2 linked regions of the Anolis sagrei genome follow. The protein of the gene in region 1 interacts with the protein of each later gene in a biochemical or structural test. Links are inferred from orthologs where the notes say so. Each region holds a gene or a part of one and is shown on either strand. Other genes may lie near its edges. The genes, in order: PIAS2 and small ubiquitin-related modifier 3.

Evidence for each region.
Region 2: the proteins of PIAS2 (region 1) and small ubiquitin-related modifier 3 form a complex in vitro, tested with the Homo sapiens proteins (2 studies listed by BioGRID, with this or other methods). The link is inferred for Anolis sagrei from reciprocal best matches to the Homo sapiens genes PIAS2 and SUMO3.

What each region holds. Positions count from the first base shown.
Region 1 is NC_090022.1:289,685,660-289,694,938, forward strand, and holds the start of PIAS2 (E3 SUMO-protein ligase PIAS2), read left to right. Parts: upstream 1-5,603; 5' UTR 5,604-5,694; coding exon 5,695-5,718; intron 5,719-9,279. UniProt on the Homo sapiens protein: Functions as an E3-type small ubiquitin-like modifier (SUMO) ligase, stabilizing the interaction between UBE2I and the substrate, and as a SUMO-tethering factor.
Region 2 is NC_090023.1:223,326,572-223,336,585, forward strand, and holds the start of small ubiquitin-related modifier 3, read left to right. Parts: upstream 1-5,644; 5' UTR 5,645-5,808; coding exon 5,809-5,829; intron 5,830-10,014. UniProt on the Homo sapiens protein: Ubiquitin-like protein which can be covalently attached to target lysines either as a monomer or as a lysine-linked polymer. Does not seem to be involved in protein degradation and may function as an antagonist of ubiquitin in the degradation process.

The sequences.
Region 1 (9,279 bases):
GGCGTTTTGGGGGGCATCTATGCTATCTATATTATTATTAGGTTCTTGTAGGTTTTTTCGGGCTATAGGGCCATGTTCTAGAGGCATTTCTCCTGACGTTTCGCCTGCATCTATGGCAAGCATCCTCAGATGCTTATTATTATGCTTATAATTATTATTATGCTTATAATTATGCTTATAATTATTATATTATTATTATTATTATTATATCATTATCATTATTATTACTTTGAGTGCATCTTATTATTATTACTTGTGCGCCAGCTGCGCCCATACCTTGGGAAGTCTGACTTGGCCACGGTGGTCCATGCTTTGGTTACATCCCATTTAGATTACTGCAACGCTCTCTACGTGGGGTTGCCTTTGAAGACTGCCCGGAAGCTCCAACTAGTCCAACGTGCGGCAGCCAGAATGCTAACACGAGCAGGGTACAAGGAGCATACTACTCCTCTGTTGCACCAGCTCCACTGGTTGCCAATTAGCTTCTGAGCACAATTCAAAGTGCTGGTGTTAACCTATAAATCCCTAAACGACTCCAACCCAGTTAACCTGTTCGAACATATTCTCCCCTATGAACCATCTAGGTTGTTAAGATCGCCTGGAGGGGCCCTGCTCTCGGTCCCACCAGCGCGTCTGGTGGGGACGAGGGACAGGGCCTTCTCGGTGGTGGTCCCTCGACTCTGGAACTCTCTCCCACTGGAGATCAGAACTGCCCCCTCCAATCTGTCATTCAGAAAACGGGTGAAAACCTGGCTATGGGGTTTGGCTTTCGACGAGTGAATCAATATTTCTGTGATCGGATAGATGACGATGAATGATGGACAACGAATTCACTATGACAACTGACCATTGTTATTATGTGATTGCATTTTGCTGTTATAACATTTTAATTGAATATGTTATATGATGTTTTTAATGATTGTTTCGTGATTTTATTGTTGGAAACCGGCCCGAGTCCCCCGATAGAGGGGAGAAGACCGGTATACAAAATTGCTAAATAAATAAATAATAAATCTATGCTATATATATAATACTGATATATAATATATAATACTGATATATTGTACTATGCTAATAATATAATATAATATAATATAAATATTATATTACTATGCTAATAGTATAATATATTGTATGAAAATATATATTGTAAGCTGCTCTGAGTCCCCTTCGGGGTGATAAGGGTGGCATATAAATGCCGTAAAAAATAAATAAATATAATTAATGCACTTTAATTAATGCATTTAACTGCATCTATGTTAGTATTATTATTATTATTTGAAACACAACAAGATGAGTCCACAGCAGACAAGATAACTCTGCTGGCTGTTGTATTGGATCACAAGTGTCTAGGACTGTGTGATATATTGGCGAATAATGTGTGCAGATCCCAGTAACGTGGCCTTCTGCAACTTGCAGATGGTAATTTTGTCAGCGCCGATTGTGTTTAAGTGCAGGCCAGGGTCTTTAGGCACTGCATCCAGTGTGCCGATCATCACTGGGACCACCTTGACTAATTTGTGCCAGAGTCTTTGCAGTTCGACCTTTAAATCCTTATATCGTGTCAGCTTTTCTAGTTGTTTCTCTTCGATCCTGCTGTCACCTGGGACAGCAATATCGACAATCCATTGTTATTATTATTATTTACACCCCACTTTTTCTCTCCACAAAGTAGACCCAATTTCTAAATATTTACTTAAGTTTCTAAAGTCACTTACAGTCATTGTTCTGCCAGGACTCACTGTCTGCTCTACTTGAAGCAAGTAGGCAACATTATTTGCCCCTAATTTCCCTAGGTAAATAAGAACTCCCATTCATTTCACCTCCACCTGGGAACAATTCTTCCTGATGTGTATCTTAATTTCTAAAAGGAAAATATATGATGTCTGTGTGTGAATGAGAAGCGTTCTCCAGTTATACTCCATTGTAAATGCATAGTGAATTGTAGTGAGTATTGTAACCCTGTGAGGATACTGTAAGAAGTAGGCAGCACAGCAGGCATGTAGCTGGGGGGGGGGGGGGGGCTTGAGGGGCTTAAGCCCCCCCCCCCCCAAATTCTCATGGTGGTTCGCGAAAAGGCCTTACTGGTACATTATTTAAACTGTTATGTTTATTCATATCATGATCTGATCACCATACTCAATATATCCCATATGCATGGGGGTATTGGGGTAATGATACAAAAGGTTTGCTAGGCTAGACCCTCTTTCACTCAGACTCAGCCCCCCCAACCCCCCCCCCTGAAAATTTTTTAGCCCCCCCCCCCACCCGAAACGAAATCCTGGCTACGGGCCTGCAGCACAGTAGTTGTTATTTTTATTTATTTATTAGCTCATATGGTTTGTTGTGCATGCTGTAAGCATGCTATATAAGAGATATAAATTATAACTACTGATTGTGCTTAATGTATATATGCTTCACATTTACTATTTTGTATTATTTTTTACTTTCTCTGTAAAACTTGTCAGGATTGTTTAACTTTGAGTGGAAACTGGAACTGCTCACCCAAGATAACACAATAAAGGAAAGGTAAGACAATGAGGAACTCTGGCAGCAAATAATATTATTATTGCTATTGTTAAATACTGCCAGAGACTGTCTAACAGGTCAGCACTAATACAGGTCTGAATATGACAATAAATAACAATTACTGAGATTACTAATATTGCTATTGTTAATATTAACAGAGACCCTTTGAGAATTGAATGCAATAACAACATTATTAGTCTCTGACAGGGATAAATACATTTTGTTGTTACTGTTGTTGTTTCTTCTCTGCTGTTTTGCTGTTGTAATTTTAGAGTTTTTTTTTATACTGGTAGCCAGATTTTGTTCATTTTCATGGTCTCCTCCTTTCTGTTGAAATTGTCCACATGCTTGTGGATTTCAATGGCTTCTCTGTGTAGTCTGACATGGTGGTTGTTGGAGTGGACCAGCATTTCTGTGTTCTCAAATAATATGCTGTGAAGCAGAGAGGAAACAATCAGGCACATCTTAATTGTCTGATTGTCCTTATCTAGTTGTCAGATTGCCCAAAGGCCTGGTCCCACAACCATGTCTTTACTTTCCTCCCGAAGAGGAGGAGGGAAGTTGATGACCTAATTACCCCCAGGAGTGAGTTCTACAGGTGAGGGGCCACCACTGAGAAGGCCCTGTTCCTCGTCCCCACCAACCTCACTTGTGATAGCGGTGGGGTCGAGAGTAGGGCCCTCCCAGATGATCTCAAAATCCGGGGTGGGACGTAGAGGGAGATGTGTTTGGACAGGTATGCTGGACTGGAACCGTATAGGGTTTTGTAGGTCAAAACCAACACCTTGAACTGGACCGGCAGCCAGTGGAGCTGACACAGCAGGGCGGTGGTGTGCTCCCTGTATGACGCTCCGGTGAGTAATCTGGCTGCCGCTTGCTGGACCAGTTGAAGTTTCCGAACAGTCTTATTTATTTATTTATTTATTTATTATTTAAACTTATATGCCGCCACTCCCCTGGGGCTTGGAGCGGCTTACAAGACTAGCTAAAATCTAACACAATTTAAAAGCAATTTAAAACAATTTAAAAACAACACTATCAAACATTAAAACCTGTTGAAACAGGTATGTCTTACATGCCCTGCGGAAAGATGGTGAGTCCCGCAAGGCACAGACTTCAAGTGGCAGAGTATTCCAGAGTGATGGTGCCACTGCTGTGAAGGCTCTGCGTCTGGTTGCTGTTAGATGCAAGGTCCTGACACTGGGGACTTCCAATAGATCTTGGTCCTCAGAACGGAGGGATCTCTGGGGTTGGTAGGGGGTGAGGCGGTCCCTCAGGTACATCGGCCCCAGACCATGCAAGGCCTTAAAGGTGAGTACCATCACTTTGAAAGTGATCCGGTGCTCAATTGGTAACCAATGCAGCTGTAGTAAGATTGGGGTTATGTGGCATCTCATCAGAATTCCCGCAAGAAGCCGAGTAGCTGCGTTTTGTACCAACTTGAGCTTCCGGATCATCGTCTTCAAGGGTAGAGTGCGTTGCAGTAGTCTATTCGGGATGTAACAAGAGTTCTTTCTCCCACCCTGGACATTATTCCACAGATATATAAACCCAAATTTCCTAGTTCCCAATAGACCTCACAACCTCTGAGGATGCCTGCCACAGATCATAGAATCATAGAATCAAAGAGTTGGAAGAGACCTCATGGGCCATCCAGTCCAACCCCCTGCCAAGAAGCAGGAATATTGCATTCAAATCACCCCTGACAGATGGCCATCCAGCCTCTGTTTAAAAGCTTCCAAAGAAGGAGCCTCCACCACACTCCGGGGCAGAGAGTTCCACTGCTGAACGGCTCTCACAGTCAGGAAGTTCTTCCTCATGTTCAGATGGAATCTCCTCTCTTGTAGTTTGAAGCCATTGTTTCGCATCCTAGTCTCCAGGGAAGCAGAAAACAAGCTTGCTCCCTCCTCCCTGTGGCTTCCTCTCACATATTTATACATGGCTATCATATCCCCAAAGATTACTGCAGATGCAGACTGTGGCCAGGAAATCAGAAGACGCTTACTTCTTGGGAGGAGAGCAATGTCCAGTCTCGATAAAGTAGTAAAGAGTAGAGACATCAGACTGGCAACAAAGATCCATTGCCTAGTCAAAACCATGGTATTCCCTGTAGTAACCTACGGATGTGAGAGCTGGACCTTAGGGAAGGCTGAGCGAAGGAAGATCGATGCTTTTGAGCTGTGGTGTTGGAGGAAAGTGCTGAGAGTGCCTTGGACTGCGAGAAGATCCAACCAGTCCATCCTCCAGGAAATAAAGCCCGACTGCTCACTGGAGGGAAGGATACTAGAGACAAAGCTGAAGTCCTTTGGCCACATCTTGAGGAGACAGCAAAGCCTAGAGAAGACAATTATGCTGGGGAAAGTGGAAGGCAAAAGGAAGAGGGGCCAACCAAGGGCAAGATGGATGGATGGGATCCTTGAAGTGACTGGACTGACTTTGAAGGAGCTGGGGGTGGTGACGGCCGACAGGGAGCTCTGGCATGGGCTGGTCCATGAGGTCGCGAAGAGTCAGAGACAATTGAACGAATGAACAACAATCATATCCCCTCTCAGCCTTCTCTTCTTCAGGCTAAACATGCACAGCTCCTTAAGCCGTTCCTCATAGGCCTTGTTCTCCAGACCCTTGATAATTTTAGTCGCCCTCCTCTGGACACATTCCAGCTTGTCAATATCTCTCTTGAATTGTGGTGCCCAGAATTGGACACAATATTCCAGATGTGGTCTAACCAAAACAGAATAGAGGGGTAGCATTACTTCCCTAGATCTAGACACTATGCTCCTATTGATGCAGGCCAAATAGACCTCACAACCTTTGAGGATGCCTGCCACAGATGCAGGGGAAATCTCAGGAGGGAATGCTTCTGGAGCATGGCCTTACAGCCCGGAAAACCTACAACAACCCAGTGATTCCGGCCATGGAAGACTTCATGTTGCTGTTGTTGTTGCCAAAACAGTGCTGCCCCTTTAAGAAAGGAAAGCCTCATTCTCAAGAGGGCTCCTCCCTCCCTCCCGCCCGCCCTTTCAAACACCCAGCGAAGGGGGCGTGGCCAGGAGTAGGCCCCGCCCCTCGGGGGGTCCACGTGACCGGCGGAGCGGCGGGGGAGGGGGCGCTGGGCGCGTGCCTCAGGATGGTGGCGGCAGAAGCGGCGGAGGCGGCGGAGGGAAAATGGCGGACTTCGAGGAGCTGAGGGTGAGCAGCAGGCGCGGGCGGTTGGAAGGCAAGGCCGCGGGGGCCTCCGTTGCCTGGGCCCCGGATCCCTCTGTCCACTGAGGCCTCCCAACCTTCCTTCCTTCTCTCCCTGGAGCCTGAGGCCTAGCTCGCCCCCACAGCCCGGGAATTGGGGCCTACACGGTCTTGTTCCTAAGGCTGCGAGCAGCGCCTAGGCCCCTCCAAGGAAAGAAGAAGGCCTTAGGCAGAATACATTGGAATATTACCAATAATTAGGTTCCTGTAGGTTTTTTCGGGCTATAGGGCCATGTTCTAGAGGCATTTCTCCTGACGTTTCGCCTGCATCTATGGCAAGCATCCCCAGAGGTAGTGAGGTCTGTTGGAAGTAGGAATTAACAACAGCTAAACAACAGAGCGTAAACAATCAGGCACATCAAATCACTCTCAACAGAAGATTCCCCCCAGGCACTTCCAAGCCATTAAATGCTAATCAAGGTGGTCAGTTGAAACATTCACACCTTGCTCCAACAGACAAGATTCCTTTGTCTCACCCTGGTCATTCCACAGATATAAAAACCCATTTTCCTATTTCCAACAGACCTCACTACCTCTGAGGATGCTTGCCATAGATGCAGGCGAAACGTCAGGAGAAATGCCTGTAGAACATGGCCCTATAGCCCGAAAAAACCTACAAGAACCTAGTGATTCCAGCCATGAAAGCCTTCGACAATACATTACCAATAATAATTATAATAAATCCGAATAGTCTCTCTTAATGGCCGGCCTGTGCTGTGAGCCACTAAGAGAGCCAGAAGGGTATACATATAGTAATAAATAATAGCAATAAATAATCAAAATAATAATCTGCACCTGAATATTCTCTCTAATTGTTTTTAATCCCCTGAAGCACTAAGAGAGCCAAGAGACTATACATATAGTAATAAATAGGTTTAATAAATTATAGTAATAGTTAAACATGAGCCAACAATGTGATGTGGCAGCAAAAAAAGCCAATGGGATTTTGGCCTGCATCAATAGGAGCATAGTGTCTAGATCTAGGGAATTAATGCTACCTCTCTATTCCGCTTTGGTTAGACCACACCTGGAATATTGTGTCCAATTCTGGGGACCACAATTCAAGAGAGATATTGACAAGCTGGAATGTGTCCAGAGGAGGGTGACTAAAATGATCAAGGGTCTGGAGAACAAGCCCTATGAGGAGCAGCTTAAGGAGCTGGGCATGTTTAGCCTAAAGAAGAGAAGGCTGAGAGGAGATATGATAGTCATATATAAATATGTGAGAGGAAGCCACAGGGAGGAGGGAGCCGGCTTGTTTTCTGCTTCCCTGGAGACTAGGACGTGGAACAATGGCTTCAAACTACAAGAGAGGAGATTCCATCTGAACATGAGGAAGAACTTCCTGACTGTGAGAGCCGTTCAGCAGTGGAACTCTCTGCCTCGGGGTGTGGTGGAGGCTCCTTCTTTGGAAGCTTTTAAACAGAGGCTGGATGGCCATCTGTCAGGGGTGATTTGAATGCAATATTCCTGCTTCTTGGCAGAATGGGGTTGGACTGGATGGCCCATGAGGTCTCTTCCAACTCTTCGATTCTATGATTCTAATAATAATAAATATCTTTATAAATAAAACATGTAATGTAGTATACATATAAATTTATTTATTTTTGGCATTGGTAGCCTTCCTTTCTCAGCCTTATAGCTACTCAAAGCGGCTTACAGAAATGGGCAGAATTTGATGCCATACATTCAAAGTACAGTTAAAAACATTCAACCTAATAATATAAAAACCATATAAATCATTAAAACCATTTTGAAAACATAGAATCACCAGTGTCGTCCTGTTAAAATCATTATCCAGCAGCTTCGTCTAGTCATTCTGTCTTCATTCTTCCTATTTCTGAATTATTCATTCCACTGCATTTCTTGGTCGGGCCCTCTTCCTTTTGCCTTCCACAATATATTATATCCTTAGCATAGTTCAATATCAGTATTAAATACATTGAATGTTTGTTGTGTATATGCTGTGCTCCGTCCTGAGTCCCCTTCGGGTTGAAAAGGGTGGAATATAAATGTTTTAAATAAATAAAATATTACTATATTGTACTATACCATTATATTGTAATATTATTAGTAATATTACATGTAATATAAATATATAATTGTAATATATTATTAGTAGTATTATATTGCATTACATTATAATATTATAAATATATGTGTATTTATAATTGATATTGTATTACATTATTTTATTAGAATAGCACAGGAGACAAGGTGGAACTGTCCCCTGGCCCCCTCTCTCTTCACTGGCCCAGAGCGGCAGTTGGTGCTGGGGGGAGGCAGGGGACAGTTTGATCTTATCTCCTGCATCACCGATGACATATGCAGGAGACAAGATGGAACTGTCCTCTGCCTCCCCCCCCCCCCCCTTCACTCTATCCCAGAGTGGCAGCTGGTTCTGAGGGGAGAAGTCCTCATCTGATGACATATGCAGGAGACAAGATGGAACTGTCCCCTGGCCCCCTCTCTCTTCATTTTGGCCCAGAGCAGCAGTTGGTGCTGGGGGGAACACATGAATATTCTCTGTAATAGGCAGCCTGTGTTGTTTTTAAGGCTGTGAGCAATTAAGAGAGCCAAATATAATAATTAATATAATATAATAATTAATATACACCTGGATAGTCTTTCTAATGGCCAGTCTATATTTTTAATTTTGTGAACCACTGAAGAGAGCATAATACATATAAATAATAATAATATAAACCTGAATATTCTCTCTAACGGCTGTCCTGTATTGTTACTGTGAGCTGCTAAGGGAAGACGGTAAAAGTTTCCTCTTGACACGAAGTCTAGTCGAATCTGACACCTCCATTTCTAAGCAATCAGCATTGTCCGTAGACACCTAGGTCATGCAGCCAGCATGACTGAATGGAGCGAAATTACCCTCCCCAAAAGTAGTACCTATTGATGTACTCACATTTGTATCGCCCTGCTCCCCGGATTCAAACTGCTAGGTTGCAAAAGCTGGGACTAACAATGGGAGCTCACCCTGTCCCACAGATTCGAACCACCGACCTTCTGGTCAGCAAGTTCAGCAGCTTCACAGTTTAACCCACTGCAGGGAAAGGAAGAAAGTAGAGTATAAATAAATATAATGAACACCTGCATATTCTCCTTCATGGCCAGACTATATTGTTTTCAATGTTGCAAGCTGTTTTGAGTCTCGTCTAAGAGAGGAAACTGGAGTTTTACTAAACACCAGACACAAACGTGGTTTGTAGGGCTCATCCCTCATGGAGAGGGCCTTCTCGATGGTGGCCCCCCAGCTTTGGAATGCCTTCCTCAGGGAGATTAGGCAGGCCCCCAAACTGCCCTTCTTCTGTACAAATCTGAAAACTTGGATGTTTAAACAAGCCTTTTAGAATGGCTAGTCCCAATGGTCCACAATCAATAACACAACATTGCACTTTCATTCCATGCTTTTGTTCCTTAGCTACAATTTGCACTATCCATTCCCTTGTCTTGTTTACAGTCTGGCCATGTCTTACGAAAGTTGTCACCATA
Region 2 (10,014 bases), on another chromosome or scaffold:
ATAGATCTTTTAGATCAGGCCTGAGCAAACTCTGGCCCTCTGGATGTTTTTAACTTCAACTCCCACAATTCCTAACAGCCTACTGGCTGCTAGGAATAGTGAAAGTTAAAGTCCAAAACACCCGAAGGGCTGAAGTTTGCCCATGCTTGTTTTAGATCCACTCTTCCATTAAATTCCTTACTAGTGATTATTCCAAGGTTTGGAACTCAATGACTCAGCCATAAAACTGCAAACAGATACTACCTTGAGCCCCAGAAACCTTGCCCAAAGCCTTCCCAGGAAACCTGTTTAGTTTCTAGTGATTTATCACTGCAGTCGTGAACATACTTGCAAACATGGTGCATTTATGTCACTGGAAAACATTCCCACTTTATTCAGATGTTTTGCCTCTGTTCAGACTCACCTACAGTGTCAGCAAAAACGCTCTAACTTGGAATAGGAGCAGCAATAAACAAAGTACAGTAGGCTCTTGGCTTATGGGGTTTGGTAGATGCCAGGAAAATGTAGTTTATATAAAACTTTATTTGTATCCTGCCACCAGTTGCTTGTTTCCAGTTGCTTGAGGCCTAGCTACTACAACAATACTCCATAATATACCATAAATTAATATTGATATACAGGAACTTAAAAGAAATTACCACAAATAAAGACAAACTTAACATAACACAGTGTTGCTGTATTTAAAAGGCAGCTTTGTGGATGCAGTATTATTCAGTTTTTCACCAGTTGTTTTCTTGTCCACCAACATTTTATTTTCCATTCTTGAGCTGGGAGCAGAGTAACTGCTTTGGGAGACGGTGATCGAACATTCGGACAACATGGCCAGTCCAGTGGAGTTGATTGCATAGGACTGTGGTACCCAACCTTCCTAATGCTGCAACCCCTTAATTCAGTTGCTCATGTTGTGGTGACACCCAACCATAAAATTGTTTTCGTTGCTACTTCATAACTGTAATTTTGCTACTGTTATGAATCATAATGTAAATATCTGATATGCAGGATGTATTTTGATAGTTAACTTACAATCAAAGAGCATTCTGAACTCCACCAATGATGGAATTGAAACAAACTTGGCACACAGAACTCCCACGACCAACAGAAAATAGTGGAAGGGTTTGGTGGGCATTGACCTTGAGTTTTGAAGTTGTAGTTCACCTACATCCAGGGAGTACTGTGGACTCAAGCAATGATGTATCTGGACCAAACTTGGCATGAATACTCAATATGCCCAAATGTGAAAACTGGTGGATTTTGAGGGAAATAGACCTTGACATTTGGGAGTTGGAGCTACTGGGATTTATAATTCACCAACAATCAAAGAGCATTCTGAACTCCACCAACAATGGGATTGAACCACTGTTGGCACACAGAACCCCCATCGTGGATCGGATTAACTTGTGGTCTGTCCAGCAGTCATCAGCACCTGTCATAGCTCTTGTGAGAAGCACATTGCGGTGGTCCCTGGCACATGTAATTACATAGTCTAAAAGGTGTCAATGATTTGATCGGGGGTGCTTCCATGATGTCTTGAGCTTGTTTTTCTGGCAGAAGAGCATGTTGGTGATGACAAGGTTGTGTTCCGCAAATTTGGTGAGAAGCAGTATGCCATTCAAGTTGCTGTTTCCAACCCCATATTTTCCTATGGTCCCTGGCCACAAGTCAAAGCCTCAACCAATTCTTGTGTTAAAATCCCCCAGGGGGATAATTTTGTTCTCCTTACAAGGTGCAGTATTATAGCGATGAAGATGGAAAATAAGGTTGGGGCAATAACACATCCCTGTTTGACACCTGATTCCTCCTTAAATGGGTCACTTTGGGAGCCATTGCCAGCCAAGAGTGTTGCCATCATATCATTGTGGAGGAGCTGCAGGATGTTCACAAATTTGTCAGGGCACCTGATTTTTTGGAGGATGGTCCAGAGAGCACTGCTATTCACTGTGTTGAATGCCATTGCGAGGTCAATGAATGCCATGTAGAGAGGATGATTTGTTCCCTGTATTTTTCTTGGAGCTGTCGTGCAGTGAAGATCATGTCCACTGTTCCTCTGCCGGGGTGGAAGTCATTCTGGTATTCTGGGAGAGTGTCTTCTGAGACAGGTAGAAGGTGGTTTGCAAGGATTCTTGCGAGGATTTTCTCAGCAGAGGTTAGAAGTGAGATACCTTGATAGTTTCCGTAGTCTGTTCTTTCCCCTTTTTTGAAAAGGGGGGTGATGGTGGCATCCTTGACGTCTGCTGGGATTTTCTCAGACTCTCACACTTTTTCAATGAGCTGGTGTAGTTGTTGTGTCAGCTCACCTATAAAGCCGTAAACAGTTTGGGACCTGCCTATCTTCGTGACCGCATTGTACCCTACGAACCTGCACAATCTCTAAGAACTTTTGGGGAAGCTCTCCTCTACTCCTATCCCTGTCATAAGTGCAGTTGGTGGGGACAAGAGAGAGGGCCTTTTCTGTAGTGGCCCCCTGGTTCTGGAACTCTCTCCCCAGGGAGATTAGACTAGCACCCAATCTGTCCACTTTCTGCAAAGAACTAAAAATGTGGATGTTCCATTGTGCTTTTGACTAGACAGTTCCCCTGATACTTTTGTCCCCAGCTATGATCCAAAACCAATTCTTGCACATTGCCACTGTTCCCCAACTAGAGATATCGTGCTCTCTTTACATTGCTCCCCATTTCCTAACGTTGTCATCTGGTTTCAGGACTTTACCCATTATCCATTATATTCATCCACAGCATCTTCCAAATCAATGGGGGTGCTGAAGCCTTCTAAAGCAGTTTCTTCCAAAGCATCATCATCCCATCCTTGTAAATGATTTGCACCATCCCACCTCCCCAACCTCAGAACTTTGCACTACTCAGACCATTGGTGGTTTGCTTGATTATTGTCTTATATTGTATTATATTGTATTATGCGTGGTTGTTTTTATATTGTTTTAAATTGTCTTTATGAATGTTGTTGTGTTATATTTTAACCATATTAAGTTCGGGCTTGTCCTCATGTAAGCCACCCAGAGTTCCTTCAGGGAGATGGAGGCGCGGTATAAAAATAAAGTAGTTATTATTATTATTATTTGAAACACAACAAGATGAGTCCACAATAAACAAGATCACTCTGCTGGCTGTTGTATTGGATCACACGTCGGACATTTCCAAGTGTCTAGGACTGTGTGATGTATCGGCGAATAATGCGTGCAGATCCCAGTAAGGCGGCCTTTTGCAGCTGGCAGATGGTAATTTTGTCAGCGCCTATTGTGTTAAAGTGCAGGCCAAGGTCTTTAGGCACTGCACCCAGTGTGCCAATCACCACTGGGACTACCTTTACTGGCTTGTGCCAGAATCTTTGCAGTTCGATCTTTAAATCCTCATATTGTGTCAGCTTTTCCTGCTGTCGCCTGGGATTGCCACATCAACAATCCATACTTTGTTTTTTAACACGATCGTAAGGTCAGGCGTATTGTACTCCAAAACTCTGTCAGTCTGAATTCTGAAGTCCCAGAGTAGTTTGACGTATTCATTTTCTGTAACTTTTTCAGGCTTGTGATGCCACCAGTTCTTTGTTGCAGGCAGATGGTGTTTGTGGTACAAGTTTGATTGTTTGGTATGGCAAAATATTATTAATATTATTATTATTAGCTCAGGTCCACCCTCTTTAAATATTTCAGCAGGGATCCCATCAGGTCCGCTGGCTTTGTTATTCTTTTGTTGGCTGATGGCATTACTGATTTCTTCCAAACTAGGCAGTGCTGCAAGCTCATCCCTGGTTTGTTGTTGCATGATTTATAAGAAAATCTCTTTGGCCACATTGGAGCTGTGATTCAGGAGGCTTTGGTAGTTCTCTTTCCAATGTAGTGCCATTGATTTTTTTTTTTTTGTCCTTCAAAAGCTTGGCTCCATCTCATGGGCATAGAGGGTATATGCCAAGAATTCTTGGTCTCTCGATGACTTTTGTGGCTTTAAAAATCCCTGAGCATCATGGGTATCTGCAAAGTGTTGGATTTCTTCAGCCTTCTTTGTTCACCAGATGTTCTTGAGCTCTCTGGTCCTTCTTTGGCTCTCAGCTTTTGCACTGTTAGAATTGTGGGAGTTAGAGTCCAAAACACCTGGAGGGCCAACATTTGCCCAGGCCTAATATGGATGACTTACATTTAGCACTGCATAGGCCTGCTTTTTTATTATTCATATTTATTGAGGTTTTTCTGAAATACACTTAAAAGAGGGGGAACATATCAGGTGTATAGGAAAGTAGGAAATACAAGCAGGGATGTTTTTATATTGTTTGTTTATTGTTATATTGTTTGTTATATTGTTGTATTGGCTGCATTGTTTATTACTGTTGATTGTTATATTGTTCGCTATATTGTTTATTGTTATATTGTTTGTAATATTGTTATTTTGGCTTCATTGTTATTGTTTATTGTTATATTGTTTGTTTTATCGGCTGCATTGTTTATTGTTATATTGTTTGTTATATTGTTATATTGTTTGTAATATTGTTATATTGACTGCATTGTTTATTATTGTTTATTGTTATATTATTTATTGTTTGTTATATCGGCTGCATTGTTTATTATTGTTTGTTGTTATATTGTTTATTGTTTGTTGTTGTTATATTGGCTACAATGTTTATTATTGTTTATTGTTATATTGTTTGTTATATCGGCTGTATTGTTAATTATTGTTTATTTTTATATTGTTTGTTATGTTGTTTATTGTTTGTTATATTGTTATATTGACTGCAATGTTTATTGTTTATTGTTACATTGTTCGTAATATTGTTATATTGGCAGCATTGTTTATTGTTTATTGTTATATTGTTTATTGTTTGTTATATTGTTATATTGGCTGCAATGTTTATTGTTTATTGTTACATTGTTTGTAATATTGTTATATTGGCAGCATTGTTTATTATTGTTTATTGTTTGTTTGTTATATTGGCTGCATTGTTTATTTTTGTTTATTGTTATATTGTTATAGTGGCTGCATTATTATTGTTTATTGTTATATTGGCTGCATTGCTTATTATTGTTTATTGTTATATCATTTGTTATATTGTTTATTGTTTGTTATATCGGCTGCATTGTTTATTATTGTTTGTTATATTGTTTATTGTTGTTATATTGGCTGCAATGTTTATTATTGTTATATTGTTTATTATATTGTTGTTTGTTATATTGATTGTTAATTATTGTTTATTGTTATATTGTTTGTTATATTGTTATATTGGCTGCATTGTTTATTGTTATTTATTGTTATATTTTTGTTTGTTGGTTAATGTTTGTTATATTGGCTGCATTGTTTATTATTGTTTATTGTTTGTTATTGTTCGTTATATTGGCTGCATTGGCCAATATAACATTTATTTCCTTCAGTGAAGACTATTTTTCTGAAGGAAGAAGTCACAAAGAAGTGATGTTTTGTAACGTATTTACTGATTTAAGCACACACCCACACCCACACAAGAGAGGCTCCTCCCCTTCTTCTTCCTCCCGCGCTGGAAAGCATGCCTCTCCCACCCACCCATCCTTCCTTCCCTCCCTCCCTTCCGCCGCATTCAGCCGGCGATGACGCACACAGCCGGGCGCGCTCCCGAGGAAAAGAACCCCGCTCGGGAGCGCGCCTCGGGGGCGAGCGCGGCCCCCCACGTGGCCCCGCCGGGAGCCAATCAGGAAGCGGGGATTGTGGGGCGCCAAGCGCGTGCTGGCGGGCAGTTGCTGCGGGCGGGATTGAAGAGAGAGAGAGAGAAGGGGAGATTGAGAGAGAGAGGGAGACGGGCTTCGGAGGTGCTTCTTTCCCTCAGCGAAGCGTCGCCATGTCCGAGGAGAAGCCAAAGGTGAGTTAAATCAGCGGGAGGGAAGGAGGCAAGGATTGGCCTCCATCATCCTCACCGCCGCCTTCTTCTGAGGGGAAAAGTGCGGCCTTCCTTTCTCTCAGTGAGGGAGAAGCCAGGCCTTTCCTCGACCCGGAAGAAGAACGGCGAGGCGGGGGTGGAGTGCTGTTAGGCCTCAGGGCTTGCCTCTCTCGCATCTTTGGCATCACCCACGCGTTATGGGATTTGTAGTTCCTCTTGGGCATGGGAGGCCTTGTGGTGATACAACTCCTATTGAGCCTTCCAAAGTGGCGCCAAACTGCATTCATTTTCGCCCTGATGTTTCTGATAGTTTATTACAGGCCTGGGCCAACTTGGGCCTTCCTCCAGGTGTTTTGGACTCCAACTCCCACCATTCCTAACAGCCTCAGGCCCGCTTAAGCGGCTGAGGGGCAAAAGGAAAGGGCCTGAGGCTGTTAGGAATGGTGGGAGTTGGAGTCCAAAACACCTGGAAAGCAGGCCCAAGTTGGTCCAGGCCTGCTTCACAATATTGTGAATGAAATTCCTTTTTTTGCATCAATGCATTTTATATTCATTCTCAAGCCCCATCTCCCAAGGTATCTCATAATGCATATATGCAAATATCCTTCTACTCCCAAGCCTTTTAAACTGTCTCTTAAGCCTCCAAACTGCAGCTCGACTCCCACAAAAGCGCGCGAAAGAAAAGCCCTCCCTGCGCATCCTTGCTTTGTGGAATCACCATCCAGGCCTACAAACCGGTTTGGAAATTACCTACACAGAGAAACCTCTTTCTTCAGTACTAGCATTACTAAATAGTCATGTTATACTTGATCTGGGACACCAAAATGCCCCAAAATTGGATTTCTTTGGCCCGTTCCACACAGCTGAATCAAATTCCACATTTTCTGGTTTGAACTGGGGGCCCTTCCACACAGCCCTATATCCCAGAATATCAAGGCAGAAAATCCCACATTATCTGAGTGTGGGCTCGGATAACCCAATTCAAAGCAGATATTATGGGATTTTCTTCCACACAGACCTATATCCCAGAATATCAAGGCAGAAAATCCCATGTTATCTGAGTGTGGACTCAGATAAACCCAGTTCGAAGCAGATATTATGGGATTTTCTTCCACACAGCCTTATATCCCAGAATATCAAGGCAGAAAATCCCACATTATCTGAGTGTGGAGTCAGATAAACCCAGTTCAAAGCAGATATTATGGGATTTTCTTCCACACAGGCCTGTATTCCAGAATAACAAGGCAGAAAATCCCACATTATCTGAGTATGATAACCCAATTCAAAGCAGATATTAATGGGATTTTCTTCCTAGATATTCTGGGATATAGGGCTGTGTGGAAGGGCTCTGGGATATAGGGCAGTGTGGACTCAGATAACCCAGTTCAAAGCAGATCTTGTGGGTTATTCTGCCTTGATATTCTGGGTTATATAGCTGTGTGGAAGGGCCCTGTGCGTTTTCCGGGCTGTATGGCCATGTTCCAGAAGCATCCTCTCCTGACGTTTCGCCCACATCTATGGTGGGCATCCTCAGAGGTTGTGAGGTCTGTTGGAAACTAGGCTAGTGGGATTTATATACCTGTGGAATGGCCCAAGGTGGGAGAAAGAACTCTTGTCTGCTGGAGGCAGGTGTGAATGTTGCAATTGAACCACCTTGATTACCACTGAATGGCCTTGCAGCTTCAAAGCCTAGCTGCTTCCTGCCTGGGGGAATCCTTTGTTGGGAGGTAATTAGCTGGCTCCAAAATTGTCTATGTGTTTTGAATGAAAGAGTGATACCTGTGCATCTTGATGGTTCACTGCAGCCAGTCGTGTTCATGCAGCATATTATTTAAGGTTTGTGTGTAAAATGGACCTTAAGCGTCCATTAATTTCTTGTTCTGGACTATGGGCCCCAGCTCAAAGACGGTTCATTATGTGTATATATCATCAGATATTCCCAAATCCAAAACTCTTCTTGTCCCCAGCATTTGGGATAAGGCAGACATGGGCCCTCCCAGTGTTTTGGACTGCAACTCCCACAATTCCTTACAGCCGGTAGGAATTGTGGGAGTTGAAGTCCAAAACACCGAGAGGGTCGAAGTTTGCCCATGCCTGGGATAAAGGATACTCTTGGCCCTTCCACACAGCCATATAACCCAGAATATCAAGGCAGGAGATCCCACATTTTCTTCTTTGAACTGGAATATATGGCAGTGTAAACTCAGATAACCCAGTTCAAAGCCGATATTGTGGGATTTTCTGCCTTGATACTCTGGTTTATACGGCTGTGTAGAAGGGCCCCCATTTTCCACCTTGAAGTTGTAATGCCTTGCCTCTTGCTGAGTGAACCGAGGAAGCAATAAAAGATGAGAAGAAGGGACTGCTTCCCTCCCCGGAGCTCTTATTGTCAAGGGATGGCGATGGCGTGCGACCACCACGCGGCTTCGCATCAGCCTAGACTTCCCTTTCCTTTTCCCTCCCTCTTTCGTTTCCGTTGGAAGTAGGGGAGCCGCTCTGGGATTCATGTTGTCTTCCCTACTGGTTTCCTTCGGATTTAGATCCCTGCCGCCCACGTGCTTGTGCATCCAGCGCTTTACTCTGGGCGTTAGATTCCTCTGCTGCACAAAACTTAAAGATATATGAGCCCCTTCTACTTTTCACTCAGGCAACCCTAGCTTCCATAGATTCGCCTTCCCTAGTTTAATCATTGTGCAGTGGAAAGGGGAGGGATATTATAGCATGTAAGGAAGAGATTAACACTTATCTTCTCCAGTTGGAAATTGGCTATTTCTATTTATGGCAGAAAGTCCATTGGCATCAGTGAGCGCAGTCCCGCCCCCCCCCCCCAAACACCTTAGGCTCCTTCTACACTGTCATATAATCCAGGTTATCAAATCAGATAATCCACGTTATCTTCTTTGAATTGGATTATATGAGTCTACACTGCCATATAATGCAGTTTAAAGCAGATAATCTGGATTTTATATGTCAATGCAGAAGGGGCCTTAGTTCAGCGGGGAAGATCATTTGATTGATACCAATAGTACTTTCAGCTGTACATGAAATCCTCTGAGCCTATACTGCAATATAATCCAGTTCAAAGCAGATAAACTGAATTTTATACGGCTGTGTAGAAATATGGATTTATACAACTGTGATGCGCTCAGCACAGTCCATAATATCTAGGCCCCTTCTTATGGACTGTGCCCAGCACAGTTGTATAAATCCACATTTCTATACAGCCGTATAGAATTCAGTTTATCTGCTTTGAACCGTATTATATTGCGATATAGACTCAGAGGATTTCATGTACAGCTGAAAGTACTTCTATTGGTATCAATCACATGATCTTTCCCCCTGAACTAAGGCCGCTTCTGCACTGCCATATAAAATCCAGATTATTCAAAGTAGATATTGTGTGATTTATTCCTTGATATTCTGTGTTATATTGCTATATTGAAGGGCCCCTTGTAGATTACCTGAGTTGATATTCTGGCTTTTATTGAGATGTGGAAGGGCCCCATGTGATTTTAAAAGGGTTGGAGTGGGGCAGTGGTTTCCAAACTTTGATCCTGGTATTTTGGACTTCATTTCCCAGAAGCCTCAACCAGCATGAAATCCTGGATCAAAACACCAGGTGTGTTTTCACTGTAGAATTAATGCAGTTAGTTATGCACTGCTCCAGCCACTGTGGCCCAATACTGTACAATCTTGGGAGTTGTAGTTTTGCAAGGTCTTTAGCCTTCTCTGCAAAAGGGTGCTCGTGCCTCACCAAACTACAACTCCCAGGATTTCATATCATTGAACCATTGCTGTTTAAGTGGGTCAAAGTTCATTAATTACTCACCATAGATGCACCTTTGAAGGATCAAAGTTTGGAATTTCAGCATTTGGGGAAATTCTGAGTTTTAAATCTCAGTGGGGTTTTAGAAGGTGCACTTATACCAGAGGTCTTCAAATTTTTAAAGCCAAGGGCTGGTTCACAGACTATTGCGGGAGAGACGGACTGTAGTTTGAAAAAGATGAACAGATTCCTATGTACACTGCAGATATCTTAATGCAAAATAAATAAATAAAGATAAAAATTGTTCGTTGTTCATTCGTTCAGTCGTCTCCGACTCTTCGTGACCTCATGGACCAGCCTACGCCAGAGCTCCCTGTCGGCCGTTACCACCCCCAGCTCCC